Linked DNA regions of Oreochromis niloticus. The protein of the gene in region 2 binds, or shares a complex with, the protein of the main gene of each other region. Links are inferred from orthologs where the notes say so. Each region holds a gene or a part of one and is shown on either strand. Other genes may lie near its edges. The genes, in order: bmf1 and rps6ka3b.

What was found.
Region 1: the proteins of rps6ka3b (region 2) and bmf1 are in contact, whole or in part, in a crystal structure (PDB 8R58), measured with the Homo sapiens proteins. The link is inferred for Oreochromis niloticus from reciprocal best matches to the Homo sapiens genes RPS6KA3 and BMF. Residues at the interface, in NP_004577.1 of Homo sapiens: Trp252, Phe259, Phe268, Leu281, Ala283, Lys284, Leu285, Gly286, Met287, Pro288, Leu299, Arg300, Phe303, Lys304, Arg305, Asn306, Asn309; in NP_001003940.1 of Homo sapiens: Glu8, Leu10, Glu11, Asp12, Asp13, Val14, Phe15, Gln16, Pro17.

The regions. Positions count from the first base shown.
Region 1 is NC_031983.2:9,097,997-9,106,752, forward strand, and holds the start of bmf1 (BCL2 modifying factor 1), read left to right. Parts: upstream 1-5,362; 5' UTR 5,363-5,637; intron 5,638-7,567; 5' UTR 7,568-7,593; coding exon 7,594-7,765; intron 7,766-8,398; coding exon 8,399-8,601; intron 8,602-8,756. UniProt on the Homo sapiens protein: May play a role in apoptosis. Isoform 1 seems to be the main initiator.
Region 2 is NC_031974.2:5,811,171-5,819,675, forward strand, and holds the start of rps6ka3b (ribosomal protein S6 kinase alpha-3), read right to left. Parts: upstream 3,184-8,505; 5' UTR 2,803-3,183; coding exon 2,740-2,802; intron 1-2,739. Other genes in the region: pyruvate dehydrogenase E1 component subunit alpha, mitochondrial, read right to left, coding at 5,626-5,790, 5,893-6,001, 6,085-6,152, 6,361-6,432, 6,741-6,896, 7,345-7,437, 7,539-7,630, 7,721-7,847 and 1 more. UniProt on the Homo sapiens protein: Serine/threonine-protein kinase that acts downstream of ERK (MAPK1/ERK2 and MAPK3/ERK1) signaling and mediates mitogenic and stress-induced activation of the transcription factors CREB1, ETV1/ER81 and NR4A1/NUR77, regulates translation through RPS6 and EIF4B phosphorylation, and mediates cellular proliferation, survival, and differentiation by modulating mTOR signaling and repressing pro-apoptotic function of BAD and DAPK1.

The DNA.
Region 1 (8,756 bases), on a different chromosome or scaffold from region 2:
TTTAATTCAAATTTTTTACATAGCACCAAATCACGACAATAGTTGCCTCAAGGTGCTTTATATTGTAAGTTAAAGACCCTACAACAATGCAAAGAAAAAAGAGAAAACCCCAACAATCATATGACTCCCTGTGAGCAAGCACCTTGATGACAGTGGGAAGGAAAAACTCCCTTTTAACAGGAAGAAACCTCCAGCAGAACCAGGCTCAGGGTGGCTGCCCATCTGCCACAACCAGTTGAGGGTGAAGGGAGTAAGACATATGTATGACATATTATATGAAGTTTGTATCTATCATTGAACATACATACACACAGTATACATATTTTACTATTATTATTATTATTATTATTATTATTTGGACATTACATTTTAAAATAGCCAGCAGCAAGAAAACTACTTGTTGGCCTGTTTTGAGGAAATTCATATTGAGGTTTGAGTAAATATCAAGGAAATAAATGTAAAACAGAGTAAATCCAAGTCATGAATGATGTGTGTATGTGTGTGTGCCTAATATTTCAGCTCCAGATGCTGTCTAATTCTTTGATCTTGATCGTGTTGTCCAGTTAAAATCTTTAGAGGAAAATCTGGAGCATACAAGTCATATTAAACAAACATGAAGGACTACAGGATGAGATTGCTGGGTGTCAAGGAGACAAGCCCTCTTTTGTTTTCAGGTCACCGCTGCCATTGGGTCATGGTCCTGTGCAAGTCTCATCTAACTGGCTTGCAGTCAGGATGTGGTTGCCATGGCACATGTCCAGTTGAAGCAAATGAAATCCATCCTTCTTAGTTTCCAGGCAGGATTCACATGCTGAGAATGTTTTGGGAGACACTCTGTGTGTGAGTGTGTGTGTTTGTGATAAATTGCGTGTGCACATTCATATAGAGAATGAGATATCAAGAGGGAGAATGGGCTTTTGAGGTTACAGAGGAAGTAGGGCATGTGATTGTGCAGCCACGTGCATGCTCGTGCGAGAAGGAGTACTACTGTAAGTGTGTGCGGGTGTGCACGCGTCGCTCTTCAGAGACAATTTTCTGATGTAACATGAACCGATGGCTGCCTTCTCTCTCCCAGGCATCTCGGGAGTTTGTGGGAACTTATTTTTGAATGCTTGTTCCACCAACCAAACAGGAGTTAATGACTATCACACCGGAGAAAGAGACAATAGAGGCCGAGAGCTGTAGGTGAGCACATCGCCTCAGAGCCTTAATCCACATACTGATAGACACGACTCAATTAAGTCAACAGGGTCTCCAATTTAAAAAGAATGTTTCTAGATGATGGCAAGAGTTGCAGTAAATACATCACTGCGAGTCACTATTTGTGCTTTAGATGCCCGTGTCTTTGTCCCACTGATGTTGGCCTATGGCTTCAATGATTGCTGCACTTCTACACTGCACACTAATGTATGTTAATGAATGACTTGGCTTTGTTTTCCAGTGATATTTTAATGTCATCAATACTATGTACTTAGGTTTTTCATTAATAATTAACGGCAGATTCTTTCAAACACTAAACCATTTAAATGCAAGGTTATCTAATATACATGCCTATCTGTTTCTTTTCCCAGCTGACATGAGAATGTATTGTAGCGTTAGCTTTCATACAGCGTGTACAACAATGACCTGTACTTAAAGGGATTCTATAGTAATTACAGGTGTTTTAAGTGTGAGTGTGTGTGTGTGTGTGTGTGTGTGGGGGGGGGGGGGGGGGGGGGGGGGGGGTCGTCTTTGTTTGGCAAGACCACAAAAGGAAGCAGCAAATAATGCTCATCTTTGAGCCTTTTGTTGCCACTCATGCAAGAGATGATCGAGTTTCCAATATCACTGTGCATGAGGAAACCAATCCCCTTTTCATGCATACCCACCCCTTCGAAGAAACTGCAGGTGGGACAAAGGCCAACCTAGCAGTCTATCCAATTAACGCATAACAGAGAAGGCAGGGACCCGTGACTTCTCACACAGCTCAGCGGTGGGACATGATCACAGCTGAATGACAGTGAGAGGGAGAAAGAGGAGTTGGGGTGGGGTGTGTTACGTGTGAGAGAATGCAGAGGGTCGGCCCCAGCTCCAGCTGTCCCAGGGTTCATTGATCAGTGATTGAAGACAGCTCTGCTGACAAGATTACCAGCATCTGCCCTGCACTTGATACCAACATGCCTACTGGAGACAAATTAGCATAGACCTGGATACAGTATACGGATAATAGTATATAACAAATTCAGGTGTTTTCAGTCCCATCTGCCACGGATGTGTAATATCAAGCACTTAGCCATGCAGTCTGCCTTTAATAACATTTGTGAAAGTATGGGTTGTTCACTGAATTTGAATGTTAGGACGTCACCATCGCAACAAGTGGGTTCCAGGATCAACTCTAAGTCTTTATAGAGCCTATACATTGCCTGACATCATTGTCAGGTATTGTGAGCATGGTGTATTATGTGTTAATTACTGTGTAATTGTGCCCCAGGGGTTTATATGCAATGCTGTCCAATAGAAACCTGGGTCCTTGCTCTTTGTTGCTTTCAGTTTTATTCAGGGACAAACATATTTGTTGCCTCCAGTTCTTTGAACATTCCCTCGCATCCATTCCGATAGCTTCAGCCTCGTAAGTTAAACATTTTTATGATGTACTTGGATTTCCAATTACTCTGTAATTTGTGCTTTTTCTGAGATGACCCGATTTAAAACCTCTGATAATGTGACAGTTTCAAGAGCTATCATATTGTCCCAGTTAAAGCATCTGTGAAAAAGCCTCTGATTGTTGTTTTTGTGATAAAAAAAAAAAAGCTTGAGTATTCTCTGCAGGTGCCTAATTAAACTGATCAAGATGCAGTCCTCTTCCAGCTGAATCTAGGTCATTTCTACCGACACTGAACAAACACAGGCATAAAAACTTCTGAAATTATAGTCTGTACATGTAACCTGTACTTTTGTTCAAACACTGTGGCGATCAGAAGTGGAAAACATAATAAATTATACTTGGGCAAATGTTGACATGAAGCCCACCTTTTGTGGATTTATAGACCCACAATATAGTGCAGAATTCAAAGTGTCACATTAACATAGAGGTACATAGACCACAGTTTTAAAGAATATACTTATCAGCAGCATCAACAAAAGCACAAATGACACAGTTTAGATGTCTTCAGCTGCGAGTGTGGTACACAGATCTCTCATAAAGCCTTTCATAGATGTTGACTTCTCCCTTACATAGTTATACAGTTTCACATCTATTACATATTGAAATCATTCTAAAAATGACTTCTTTACTGCAGAGTCTATGACAGGTCAGAGTGACCAGCAGAAATGAATATAATCCAGTGTCTGACAAAATATTTAACTAAAGTTTAGCTTGATATATATTTTACTTTTAGCAAAAGTCTGGTTTCTCTACTAAAGTCTACTGCTCTCTAAGGTACAGGATGTGACCTCCATTTTCAAGTAACTACTGAAACATAGATATCATACTATAGTGACTTAATGCTGTTCAGTGGTCATGATATTGATTAAGGCGGCTGTTGCTGGCATTAACATTAATGTTGTGCAGGTGTGTCTCATGCTGGAAAATTATTGTGCCAATAAGAAACTGAGTCTGTGAATGTGAATACACCTACAGTACTGTGCAAAAGTTTTCAACCAAACCTCATTTCTTTATATTTTGCTTCTAATGAGCCAATAATTCTTGTAACTTTAAAAGTGCTCTTGAGCAACAGTTCTCCAGACTTTCTGAAGCCCTTTCTAAGTTTTTCTTTGGATATTGACGCAATCATTATAATAGTTCAGAACTTGGACCTGACCATTTTCACACAAATTTGGTATGCAGTGTGTCCTTAAAGCTGTCCGTGTCCAGGAAATTGGACGTGTGGTGGACAAAAGAAGAAGCGCTAGGCGCAAAAGAACTATGTGTGCGCTGCCGCTTTCCATGCAGCCGGCCCCCTGAACTATGTTTTTCCCCTGCTGTGGACTCTGGGGTTTTTTTCTTTTGCTCCAAGCCCTCCATCCTGGACCCCCCTCCACCCGCTCGGGTCTGGTGGTCTGTTGTTTTTGGGGCTGTCTGGAGCCAGCCCTTAAGAAAGGGTACTGTCATGGTCCTGAGTCAGTGACCCAGTAATTTGTGTACAGTGTCTGAAAGTCAAGTACTTAAGAAAAAGGGGGGAAATCTAGCAAAGACCTGACACAGGACCTGAGAGATGCATCTGGACCTTAAATTAATTCATCTACTGTTTGCTAAAGCGTCATCGGAAATGGTTTCAGTGGAGTGGTGGCTGTAAAGAAGCCATTCTTAAGGATGGGAAATGGGGAGGTGTCCCAAATTACACAAGAACTGGACTGAAAATCAGAGATTACAGGTTCTATGAAGTGAAAATCCAAATGTAAAATTTGGGATTTAAATCCTTGTCAATAATGTACAGACGAGTTCAGGAGGTTCAACAGTGAATATCTACAGCTGTCTGTAAAACACAGTGGAGGCTCTGTCATGTTTTAAAGCCCCACTTCAGTCAATGATGTTGAATATCGCTGCCATCAGATTTCGAATCTGGCTTCATTTTTCCGATTCCAAACACAATCTGAAAAAGGATCGTGCAGGAAATGTAAACCTTGGATAGAAAAACACATCAGTCATGGCTTTGCTGCTCCTCACAGCCTGAACCTCAACATCAGTGAACCAGTGTGGCATCATCTTGACAGAGAACAGAACAACAGGCAGACAGCATCCAAAGAAGAGCTCCGAATGTTCTTCAAGAAGCCTGGAGAACTATTCCTGTAGCCTACTTTACATAAAGATTACATAAAGATTACCTAAGAGAGTTCAGGCTGCGGTGAAGAAAAAAGATGGTTACACCAAATATTGACTGTCAAGCTTATTAGGATTATAGAACCTCTGTTCTATAATCCTAATAAGCTGTGCTTCCACACATGTGTTTGCGTTTCAGTAGATCACTCTACCTATTTCTCATTTTCCTTGCAAAATATAAACAAATGAAAGACATTTGCACAGTACTTACCATAGTGAAAAACACGGGATACAGCATACTGTGAAATATGCTTCGAGTTGTAATCAACTTTAATTGTGGGCTGAATTATTTCAGCAAATTCTCAAATGTCAGATAAATATATTAATATATAGCTGTCAGGGCAAAGAACGGCTGAAAAAAACCGCAAGATGACAGCCCTATCTGACCAGAGTAGCCAGATGATCAACAGTAGTAGCGAGAAAGCGGTCTCGTGCTCTGGGGAATTTCCCCTTCCACGTGTCTGATTACACGACTGAGAAGGCGGGATAACAACAAAGTCGGCTATTGGTTGCAGCACCCATATGTAGCCGGCTCTTAAAGAGATATGCTCTATCTTCGCTTGGGAGCAGTGCAAGTGTGCCGGAGGGAAAGCAAGCCTCTTTAAAGAGGGTTTGTTTACTAATTTTTCGCGCCACGCCCCGGTGGTGGAGTCAGCTGACATGCCTGCAAAGAAATAGGGTGCTAGCGCTTTTCCTCGCAGAATGGAAGTAGTCGTGGAGGCGATAAGGACTAAAGTCGTTTGACTCAGCAGGATTCTGAACTCTTAGGCTTTTTTTCTTTTGTTTTCTTTTTGTTTTCCGGTTATAGGACAGTCGTTACAACGAAGCCGATCTGTGTGGTAAGTTCACGGGAAACATCATCACTTTTAAACGCTGTTAAATGTCCTCGTCCAGGGCGCACTCTGTCCACCGGAGCGAGCTGATTACATCAGGTAACATGCGCGTCCTTAAAAATAAGAACCGACAGCGCAACGTGCCGCTGCCTTCCATTCGCGTCTGCATTCATTCGCCCTACATTACTGCACCTAACCACCGGGCTTGTCTGCTCATAAACGCGGTTAAATGTACTGCCTGTCATTCACCCAGCGCAGATTTGAATTACACCGGCTTTCCCGGTTCGCTCAGCCCGGCTGGGTGAATGGACTTCAGACCGCGGGGCGCCGAGTGCGTCCCCGGGTGCTCTGTTTAAACGCAGTAACGACTGTTTCCTTCCTATAATGAAATGAATCAGCGTATTACACATATGCCCACTCTTGCCTTTATTTCAAGCCACTACAGCTGTGTTTTTGCATGTCTTTTTCGGTCAAATTTCGGTTTAAAACTCGCTCTGCTTTATTTCTATAAATGTGTGGTGAGTGGCCGAGCTGTGAGCGTGAGAAGGCTTCATTTCTCGGTGTGAGTAATGTTACATAAAGCCGATGCGGCGTGGTGGAAGGCTCTTCAAGCCGTTGGATTGAAACTGTGTCAATAACAGAGCTCCTTCGCCACCACCTCCACCGCCACATCTCTCCCTCCTTCCCCTTTGTTAATTTGTCTGCAGCAGGGGGAGCTACTGTCTGACACAAACATGCAGCTCACTGCCTGGTCAGTAGAGCAGTACAGACAGCAAGCCTGTGTCTCTGGAAGTTGAACCTAAGGTTTTCGCTCTCTCTCTCTCTCTCTCTCTCTCTCTCTCTCTCTCACACGCACATGCCCATGTTCTTTCTGTGTGTTTGTCAAAACAAAGCATTAAGTGGCTTTACACACAGGGTTTATTGTGAACGCACACAGTATATCGTGAGGTCTGAGCATGCTAGAGCCAGGCCAATCTGCTTATGCTGGGTGAAGAAATGAAAACTCCTTTCTCGGGGAGCTTGGCAGGCTGACAGACCAGGGAAGGGAGAGTGGCTTAGGATTATCCTCAAAGACTGTCATTACCCTTTTGCTGTGGATCCTAATTTGGAAGTGTGGTAGTAGTCTAACCCCATAATACAACTGCAGTGGTGACTTTGAGTTTTGCCAGTGAGGCCAACTTGAATTTCACCCATATTTTGATGACTGTTTGACCCACTGTATTATTCAGGGCTGAGCGCAGTCTAGTATTGACTCTGGAGAGTTTGCCAAGTGCTCCTTGAGATTCTTGCCACACTGCGGTGAGATGGGTATGATGAATCATAATGAGGCATTTTATTATTGTCATCAAATATCTGCTCTAATATCTATACAACTTTCATATTTATATACATACGGTGCAGCGATACTGTTAAAATACCAACTATTAGCGAAGTTAGTAATTATGGGACTGTTATTGAAACCCCCACCCATGTGCTTAGCAGAGACAAAAGATAATCTACCTCTTATTTAATCTAGGCAGCAAAGTCCTTTAAATGTATCTGTGGCTCAACTGACTTGCCTAACCACAGTGAATTGTGTGGTTTCATCACTGAGTTGAGCAGAGCCATTTGTCTAAATAAGCACTGAGATCTTTGCCACAAATTAAGGCAGACCGTTTGCTCATTTTCTCTTCCCCAACTTATCCACTGTGGTTTTATTGATTTGAGGGCACTCATTATAGGCCAGACAGGTTGTCTATAATGATAATGAATGCTTTGGAGGAAGGAACGAATAATGAATGTGTCTGAGATCATCTCATCAGCTCTTAGTGCGGATTTCTCCAAGGTTGGATTCATTAGCGAAGGGAACTCAGGACGGCGTGCCCGCTGGAAGACGAACTACACGTGTTCGGCTTTAACCTTTTCTTTGTTCTTTTCCTGTCACGTTACTTTTAAGGCTGCTCGTCTCAAAGCGCACCCCGTATGGACGATGAGGAGGACGATGTGTTTGAGCCAAAAGCCAACTGTTGGCGCACCACATTCAGGGAGATAAAGTGTGAACATCGAGGCACACAGACACCCGGTCCTGCCCTGGTACCAAACAACGGCATGCTGCCCTGTGGAGTCGCAGAGGAGCCCAGACCACTCTTCTACGGTGAGGCTGACAACATACCATATTTCAAAAGAGGGGAGGAAAAGGGAACACTGCCTTGTGCGTGATAACCGGTGTTATAAAACCGACGCACGAGAGCACAGTGCGAGACTCACCGTGAGGGATGGTTAACAGCGTTACTGCGCTGATCTCACCCCTGGCGCCTGATAGTCGTCATCACATTCACTTTTATGGTCTGTATGCAGTGTACCCAGCTGCTTTGCTATTCAAAAGGCGCCAGACTGGCATTGTGACTGAAAGGATATGACAGAAGTGCTCACCTGTGCAGCAACTCTTTGGAGAGTTGATTATCAGTGACACCAATTACTCTGGTGCCATAAACAAGCAATCATTCCAGAGGAGCTCTATAACTACTAGTCATGTGGGTTTATTTTGTGAAACTATTAAAGGTCATTTAAAAAAGACAAAGGAAACACCACAGCTGGGTAAACTGTGGTTATATAGCTGAGCAACCTGTTTGCTGAGAGGCACGTTCTGCAGTACTTAAGGAGACTGATGGATCTCCTTACCTGTGTGTATAAGAATGGCACGCCCGGCGTCATTGCTGTATTGAGATTATTTTGCTGAGCACGTGTTGTTTACAAAATAATAAGCATGAGTCCTGACACTCGACAGGTAACGCAGGTTTTCGATTGCACTTCCCGGCACGCTTCGAACTCGTCGGGGATCACAGAGCGAGGCGACAAGAAATCGCGGAGCAGCAAAACAGCATGGAGCGCCTGCCCCGGCAGCGACCTGCGGCTCGCAGCGTGGAGGCCTGCATCGGACAGAAACTCCAGCTCATAGGAGACCAGTTTCACTGGGAACGCCTGCAACTGGTGAGGAGGATGGATGCGTTCGGCTGATTGTGCAATACTGGGAGACAAACGGTGGCGCCGGATGGTAGTGAAACAAGCATGCTTTTAGTGGCTCACATTAAGTGTGGAGGGCAACCCGATTCTTTTGACAGTTTTCAAATTTGACTAAGTTGCAG
Region 2 (8,505 bases):
TAACTACTCCTGCAGAGTTTTTTATTAAATCTGTGTGGTTTATAATCACACATTGTTTCATGTGTTTCGGTGCTTTTAAGGATCCTTAACTGCACCCCGCAGTTTACTGAGAGATTCATATAACATGAATTAAATATTTGGAGCAGTACTTCTATATTGTACAATATTACACAGTCTTCTTGGGTTTTTAATCTATTTTCTGGTCAAAGTAAAGTCCTTACAGGAGCTTAAGATTTGGCTGCTGCTGTAATTAATAATAGCCTTTAACCTGCTGGTTTAGTGCTCAAACATGACATTAACTACTGCACCTCTACGGCTGCATATTCTGACGCTGGACTAGTAGATAAGGCAATAAGCAGGAGCTGTAACACAGCTTTAGTATTTGAAAGTAAAGCCTTGCGTGTCTACAGACTGATCTCAGGAGACTTGGCGTGGTGTGTTAAAATAAGGAAATAAGGGGGGGGGGGGGGGGGGGGGGGGGGTGCTGCTGTCAGCGGTGATCTAACTGAGACTTTAAGGTGATTTAGTGAGTTTGTGACACTCAGAGTCGATGAATTGATTAAATGAGCTTCAGGGTCAGGCCAGAGAGAAAAGCCGGGGCTCTTCAGATCATTTTATGTCTTCTTCTACAGTTTGTTTTCTATCAATTTGTAGAGCATTTATAGAGCCTGCCAGTATTATAATATTCGGTGAGTCTGCATCTGCTTAAATGGTAAAAAATGTAATAGTCCCAAAGTAGTTTTGTACTTTCTGACATTTTTATATTATGGTCAGGGCATTTCCAGAGAGATTTTAACACTACTATGGCAGCTTATAGTGACACTTTCTCTGCCTGGTAGTACTAATGTAATATATCTGCATAGAAAACTTCATCTTTGTGTCTTCAGAATGATCTTATGCTACTTTCTGTTGTGTTTCAGTAAAACTAATTTAGTCCTGTTTGAGGTTCGTGGTGTTTTTAGTCTAACTTAAGGTCAAAATAATGCCTCTATAGCAGCTTTAGCTGCTGCTCTCGATCCTAATACAACCTACTTTGCAACATTTTCACACTTCGTCATTCCATTCTCTTATTTTAGCATTTAAACATGAATCTGTTATTTCTAAACAGACTTTAACATATAAAACCCAAATGTAACAACTCTGTCCCTAAACTGCTTCATGATGTGATTCAGTGCAACTAATATAGTCCCCGTCGGAGCTCTATGCTGCTTTAAATCTAATTTAAAATAGTTTGTGTAATAATACAATCTGCTGTGCACAATGTGCTGTAAACCTCTCAATTAAACACCAGTTTTATTGTTCTTCTGTGCCCACTGTACACTGTACTGGTGTAATATTTCTGCACAGAATATTACTTCGTGTTTGTGTCTTCAGAGTTACATGAACTGATTTCCTTTTAGAGTTTTATGGTATTTAAAATCCCATTTAGGGTCATAATAGTGTCCCTGTAGTCACTCAGCAGTGCTAATACAGACTTCATATATTTGTCCCTTACGACACTTTCAGACTCTGTTTACTGACACTGACAGGCATCCATGACAGACTTTTTTTCTTTTATTGTTTAAGTCATTCCAAAAATATTGTAGCACATGCTCAGGGTTTCCTTTTGCACACATGTAACATGTCTGGAGGGTGTGGACCACGTTCGGGTGTTTAGAGTAAACACACGAACGTTAAAACTACGTCGTGTTTTAATGCAGCTAACTTCATCTTTTTGGAGCTTTCTAATGTTTTCGACCAAATTTCAGGGACAAATTGATGCCCCTTTAGTCACCAGTGCTGTCAACCATAATGCAATCTCATTTTCACATTTTTGTCCTTTATGATATTTAAAACCTCTCGATTTAACACCAGAAACATGTCCATGGCAGTCCTACAGAGACTGCAACACTACGTTGGCAGCTTATACCGACAATGTGGTACTTTGGAGTTTTTCTGTGCCCTGTAGTACCACTGTAATACTCATGCATAAAGTATTATTACATATTTGTGCCTTCGGGTCATCACTTGATACTTTATGTTGTTTTAGTGCAGCTAATTTAGTCCTGCTGAAGCTTTCTAGGGTAAAAATGATGCCTGTGTTGTAGTTTAGCTGCTAAGAAGAGTGACTTTAACTAAAAAAATCGAATTATCCTGAAAGGTCCCTTCATATTTTTGCACTTTATGACATTTTAAACCACATGATTTAACACTGGATCATATCCAGGACATTCCTGCAAAGATTTGAGTGCTTATTTGGGAGCTTACATGACACTTTGGTGTACTTCTGCGCCCTCCTGAACTGGTGTAAAATTTCTGCATAGAAAATTACTTCATCTTTGTGTCTTCAGAGGGAAATAAACAGATGTTCCCAGAGTTTACGGTGTTTACAGTTCAATTTAGGGTCATAGTAATATCCCTGCAGTCACTTAGCAGCTGCTGTCAATATAAATGCAATGTATAATGTCCTTTATGACACTGTCAGCTTACTGTTTGAGCACTTCATCGTGACTCTGTCATTGCTAGCACATGTCCAGCGCTTCCTGAAGCACAGATTTACCTGCAGAGTGATCTTACGGTAGTTTGTGCTGTGTTTAGGAGCAGCTGCCTCTGCCTGACAGAGAAGGCGCTTTTGTAGCATCAGACTGCATCCTGTGCCGTGTTTTTGTGTTTTTTACCCCCTGAAAGCTGCTGCTGTGACTGCAGCCCTCATTCAGCTGTCAGTCAGTGTGACAGCAGGACAAACCAAAGTGTGCTCACCTCTCCAGCCGTCCTCCCCAGCGGCATCTTCTGCCAGGGATCCGCCAGCTGAGCCAGAGGCATCTTCTTCTTCTTCTGCCCCTACTTTTCTTTATTCTTCTTCTTCTGTTATTCCGCTTTTCTGCTGCTCGTACCTCCCTCGCTCCGGACGCTTTCTCTCCTCGCTCTTATTCTTAAAAAAAAATGTTTGAAGGTAGTAGTCCACTTTCAGCGTCGGCAGGAACCGAACCGACCGACCGACCAACCGACCGAACGGAGCCGAGCGAACAAGGGCTAATTCCGGATCTGCCGCGGCGCTGAGACCGCCCCTTCCTCCGGAGACACGAAGAGGAGGAGGAGGACGCCCTTTTTCGGAAACTGATTGACTTATCTCCGTCTCTCTCTCTCTCTCTCTCTACCTCCACCTCTCCCTCTCTCACTTCCGTTCTTTCCCAATATGGCGGCCGGTGTCGGCTTACCTGTCCGTCAGAGCGCTGCGTCACAACTACGTCACGACGACAGGCGGCATTCTCACTTAGGTAATAAAAGAGTGAACGAGCACGTATCTGAACTTATGAATAAACAGTCTGCAATTCATCACTAAGGCGGTGTTGTTTTTTTAATGATTATTTTTACCGATAAAGCCTAACAGGGTGGCGCCAAACTGCCCCACACAATCACAGAAAGTATGTAAAACGACCTTAAACGACCCAAATGACCACAAAACATAAAAAGTAACACAAAATGCAAAAGAGTATCTCAAAGATACTCAAAATGACCACAAACTATCCAAAATAAGCCACCTAACCACATAAAAACCCATCACAAAGTACACAAAATACAAATACAAAAATCTGCAAAATGGACAATCCAGCAATAACATGGCAAATTCCACCAAAAGATGTAAAAATAAACCACAAAACTACTCTAAATAACAACAAATGTCAAATATGCAAAATCAGTAAACACATTCAAAGTGATACACCAACAACCGCAAAATGACTACAAAATGTGCAAAACAGTCACAAATGACCCAGGCATGAAACAAATTACCATAAAAATATACAAAATCTGCACAAAATCACCCACAGAAATAATACTGTGACCACAAAAACCTGCTAAATGTCCACAAACAGCCAACAGTTATTCCACATATACTGTAGTGAACCACGAAATAAATAAACCACCAAAAAAAGCTCGAGGACAACATAAGTGTGTACCCATGAAATGCCAAATTACCAGAAAAAAATACAAATCAACACATTATCAAAAACTGACCAAAAAATATGCAGTGACCATAAACCACTCAATATGTACATATAATATATGAAATGCTCACAAAAACGGGAAACACGAGCACAGAAAGGAAAACGACTTTGAAGTACACAAAACGACAAAAACTACACAATAACCAAAAACAAACATCAACACAAAAAACCTCATGAACGTGCTCCTGGATTCACCGCATCGCTTCCTTAAAGCTGTGCGTCGTTACAAAATCCACTTTTGAATACTTTTGTCAGTTTTTTCTGTGACACCTTTTCACTGGTTTAAATTTACAGCATTTAATTTTTGTCCGAGCCGGGCATGACTTTCGTTCATAAAGCTTTAATAGAGCGAAAATAGAAGGGATAAAAGTCCAGACATGTCCCTTTTTATATTATGAAGCTGACAATAAACCAGGCCGAAGCCAGTGGAGATTTTTACTCTAATTAAAGTGAAAAAAATAAATTGATTTTTAGTTTTGAGCAGTTTATCAGCCTGATAGTGACATCTAGTGGTTGAGAATGGAACAACTGAACACAGCTCACTGATTTCCTTTAGTTTGATCAACTATTGAGTCATATTTGAAGCATTACTTTGTAACCACATTTTATGTTTGACAGCTGAGCAAATAAAATATGATTCAAACACACCAATCACGTTTCCACTTTTCTTTAAAGTTGTTTTATTTCACAACCTTCAGTTTCCACCATTCAGACAGGTAAATAAGAAAGCTTTATATCTGTACAGGCTCAGATACAGTAAACTTTAAAGAACACAGGAAAGATTTTATAACAGACTCCTTTAAACTCATAAAGTGCCCAGAAAGTCTCAAATGTAGTGCATCCAGTTGCCAGCTTCAGTTTCCCCAAACAAGTCCGGATGTTTGTCTCGTCAGCAGTCGAGTCGAGCAGCTCGATTATATTTTATTTACTCATCTTTGAAAAGGGGCAGAAAAAGGTCATTTCACCGTTTGGTTGGAAAAACCAGATCTATGGAGACAAAAAAAAAAAAACAAAACAAAAACACAACCAACAACAACCATTCCTAAAAGATCCTGCAGACCTCAGTGTCCAGATAGGGAGAGCCTCTAAAGCATTTAGAGACCATCTAAAGTCTTGTTTTCATCTTCAGGTTATAAACATTTTTAGAGCCATTTTATCATTACATACATTAATATTGTGTCCTTATCCTGGACACTGAAGCTGCTTCAGATGAGGGACTGCTCTGAAGCTCAGGCTGCGACTCCTCATTTAAAACACATTTACTACCAGAAAAATCCATCACATTTGTATTTCGCCGGTTTTAAAGTCACACTACTGAGGGAATACCTACACAAGTTTGCAACATTTAAAAGTCTCCTAAGAGTTTAAAAAGCAGGATAAACATGGAGAGGGTTTCTAACAGACACGTTTCCATGTCAGATGTTGGGATTTGTGCGTTTACAGTGCAGCATGTTAATCCTATCCAACACCTCTGTCTCCACCACGAATAACATCTCAGTTATACAGTAAACTATAAATAAATAACACTGGCAGGTTTCAGGTAAAAAACCTCAGAGTCCTGTGAAGGTGCTGAGACCTAAAGTCGAGAGGGAAGGTGCTGAATGTGTGAGGGATAATGGTTGGAGTGTGTGGTCCGAGTCTAGCTGACAGACTTGAGCTTGGACCAGGGGCTTGTCCCGCGCACCTCCAGCGGCGGGTTCTTGGAGAAGATGTGGTTGCATAACTCTTCCAGCGGCGGCTCCGGGTCCGAGGTGGCGAACTGAGTCGCCTCCTCCACCTGCTTACGGATCTCTATGTCGATTTCCTGATGGGAGAGAAATCAGGTGCTGTAATCCCTGCAGCTGCCAACCTTTATATAAAAAAAGGTTTGAAGCTGTGAATGTATCCCTGCTGTCTGCACGCTCACCTTGAACTCCTCTACAGACGCCATGTTGTGGCTGAGCATGCGCTCCTTCAGCATGGAGATGGGGTCGCTCTTACTACGGACCTCCTGAATCTCCTCGCGGGTACGGTAGCTGCAGGAGGTCAAACCAAATTACTGAGAAAAATCACAACTCTCCCAGGGTCAGGTAAATCCAGACTGGGAAAGGTAACTCACCTGACACCTGGGTCACTCATGCTGTGTCCATGGTAACGGTAGGTCTGCAGCTCCATTATGATGGGACCCTGAAACACAAAGTGCTGCTTCACATCGATGCTCTGAAAGATTAGAGCCTTTTAGAGATCCTACAGGAAACTCTCCACCACGAGAACCCTTCAAAATTAAAGGCTGTGGGTCTCCATGGACTTTTACATATATGAATAACAGAGTGCAGCACAGATTAGATATTAAAAATGTATAAATAAAAAAACAAAACAAAAAACAAACCCTCACCTTTCCAGCTCTGCAGTGATCTGCAGCAAACTGTGTGGCCTCTCTGACGCACAGGACATCCATCCCATCCACCTGCAGGAGAGCAGAGAGAAACCTGACCATTGGCACACCTCTACGTACAGAGACGCGACCCCTGCAGCGACACCTGGAACATTCCAGTGTTTGTGCGCAGTATCATACATGAGCATCAGGCAGCTGTATGCATGCTCACACCTGCAACTGCCAGGACAGACTCTCAGCCTCTTCCTGTTATAGTCTGGGTCCAAACGGGCCAGCGGCAGTGTACAGTCATCAGACACACTGCCGCCGCTGCCCAGGACCGGCACGTTTACCCGCCATGTTTAACCCCGCCGTGCAGCTTTAATGTGTTCATGTCTCACTCTGAGTCCAGGTATGAAGTCTCCCCTCTTGTAGTAGTCTGTGCTGGCTGCAGCTCTCTCCACCGATGTCCCCATGCCGTACTTGTTGTTCTCGCAGATGAAGATGCACGGCAGCTTCCATAGAGCGGCCATGTTGTAAGACTCAAAGAGCTGGCCCTGATTGGATCACAGAGGAGTCGAGGTCAAATGACGAGAACCAGTGTAAAGTTCTTTACAGAGGTATTAAAAAGCACACAGCTGAACCACGTAAACAACGCAGAACACAAACGCACGCCTGTCCATCCAAATGCCAGATACATTTTAAACTGCCAAGGGAGGAAAGCTGTTCCACAGTTCTGGCACTAAAGTTTGGAGCGCACATAATCAGCCTCAGTTTTCAGACGGAGGAAAAACAAAACCTCCATCTGTGGCTCAGAGGGTCCGGTTTGGAGAACAGGGGTGAAACAGAATGAGAATAAGTGGTGGCGTCACCTCGTGAAGCCAAGGAAATAAGAATAAAGATCTTAAACCTAACTGATATGACAGTGTAAGAGTGCGTGTTAAAAGCCTTTTAGCAGCATTGGTGGATATTAATAGAGTCATTTAAATCATTTTTAACTCTTACCTGATTGGCTGCTCCGTCTCCATAGAGCGTAACGCACACCTGGTTGTTGCCTTGGTACTGGCAGGCGAGAGCGATGCCTGCTCCCAAAGGTACCTGCACAGTTCACAGGTGAGTTACTGAAACCATAATGAGAGTGTTTAACTATAGAGACCTGCAGGTGTGAGAGGTATGGGAGGCTTTTTAAACGTGCTTACTTGTGCGCCCACGATGCCATTGCCGCCATAGAAATGTGGAGCGTACATGTGCATTGAGCCCCCTTTCCCTTTAGCCACGCCCCCTCTACGACCTGAGGAGGACAAATAAAAGCGAAGATGAGACTAAGATCAACTACAGGTGTGCACATGTTCAGACTGCAATACCTTCCTCTCGCTCTCACCTGTGAGCTCGGCCAGGATCTCTTTAACAGAGACACCGCGGGTGTAGGTGTACCCGTGGGCGCGGTACGCAGTGATCAGGTGGTCCGAGGGGTTGATGGCGGCCTCGATGCCTGCAGCACACGCTTCCTGCAGGAGAAACCACACGTTCTGCATTTCACCACACTCAAACTGATGTTCATTTTGGTTTTCTCTGAATGTTCTTGCATTACTCCATGCACTGAGATTTGGAATGCAATATAAATGAATTCTGTTCCTGGCCTGCAGGCGCTGATACCTGTCCGTCGTATAGGTGACAGAAGCCTCGGATGATCTTCTGCTTGTAGAGCTGGTCAGCTTTGAGCTCCATGCGCCTCACCGTCTGCATGGTGCGGTAATACTGCAGGCCCTGCTCCCTGGTCAGCTCCGCCTTCACCGGGGGCCCCTCCTCCAGGCGATGCAGGTCGCATTTCTACACCAAAACAAACAAAAACTAAAGAAGCAGACCAAACCAAAGATTTTTGGTCCGTAACTGAGTGAAGTTTGGTTTAATAAACTAGAGAAATCCAGACCTGAACCAAAGATTAGCACATTTATTCATTTACTGCTGAGGCTCTTTTAGCCTTCTGTCAGGCCTGAATACAGATCCCTGAGTGAACATGTGCTGATGATCATGACACTGAAACTGATGTTTTATTCAGAGTTTGACAGCAGATTGAACTTTACAAATATAGGCATGACATTTTATCTGAAAGGACTGATTGTTGTGCATTAGCCCAGATAAGTTTCGCTCTGCCATCTTTACGTT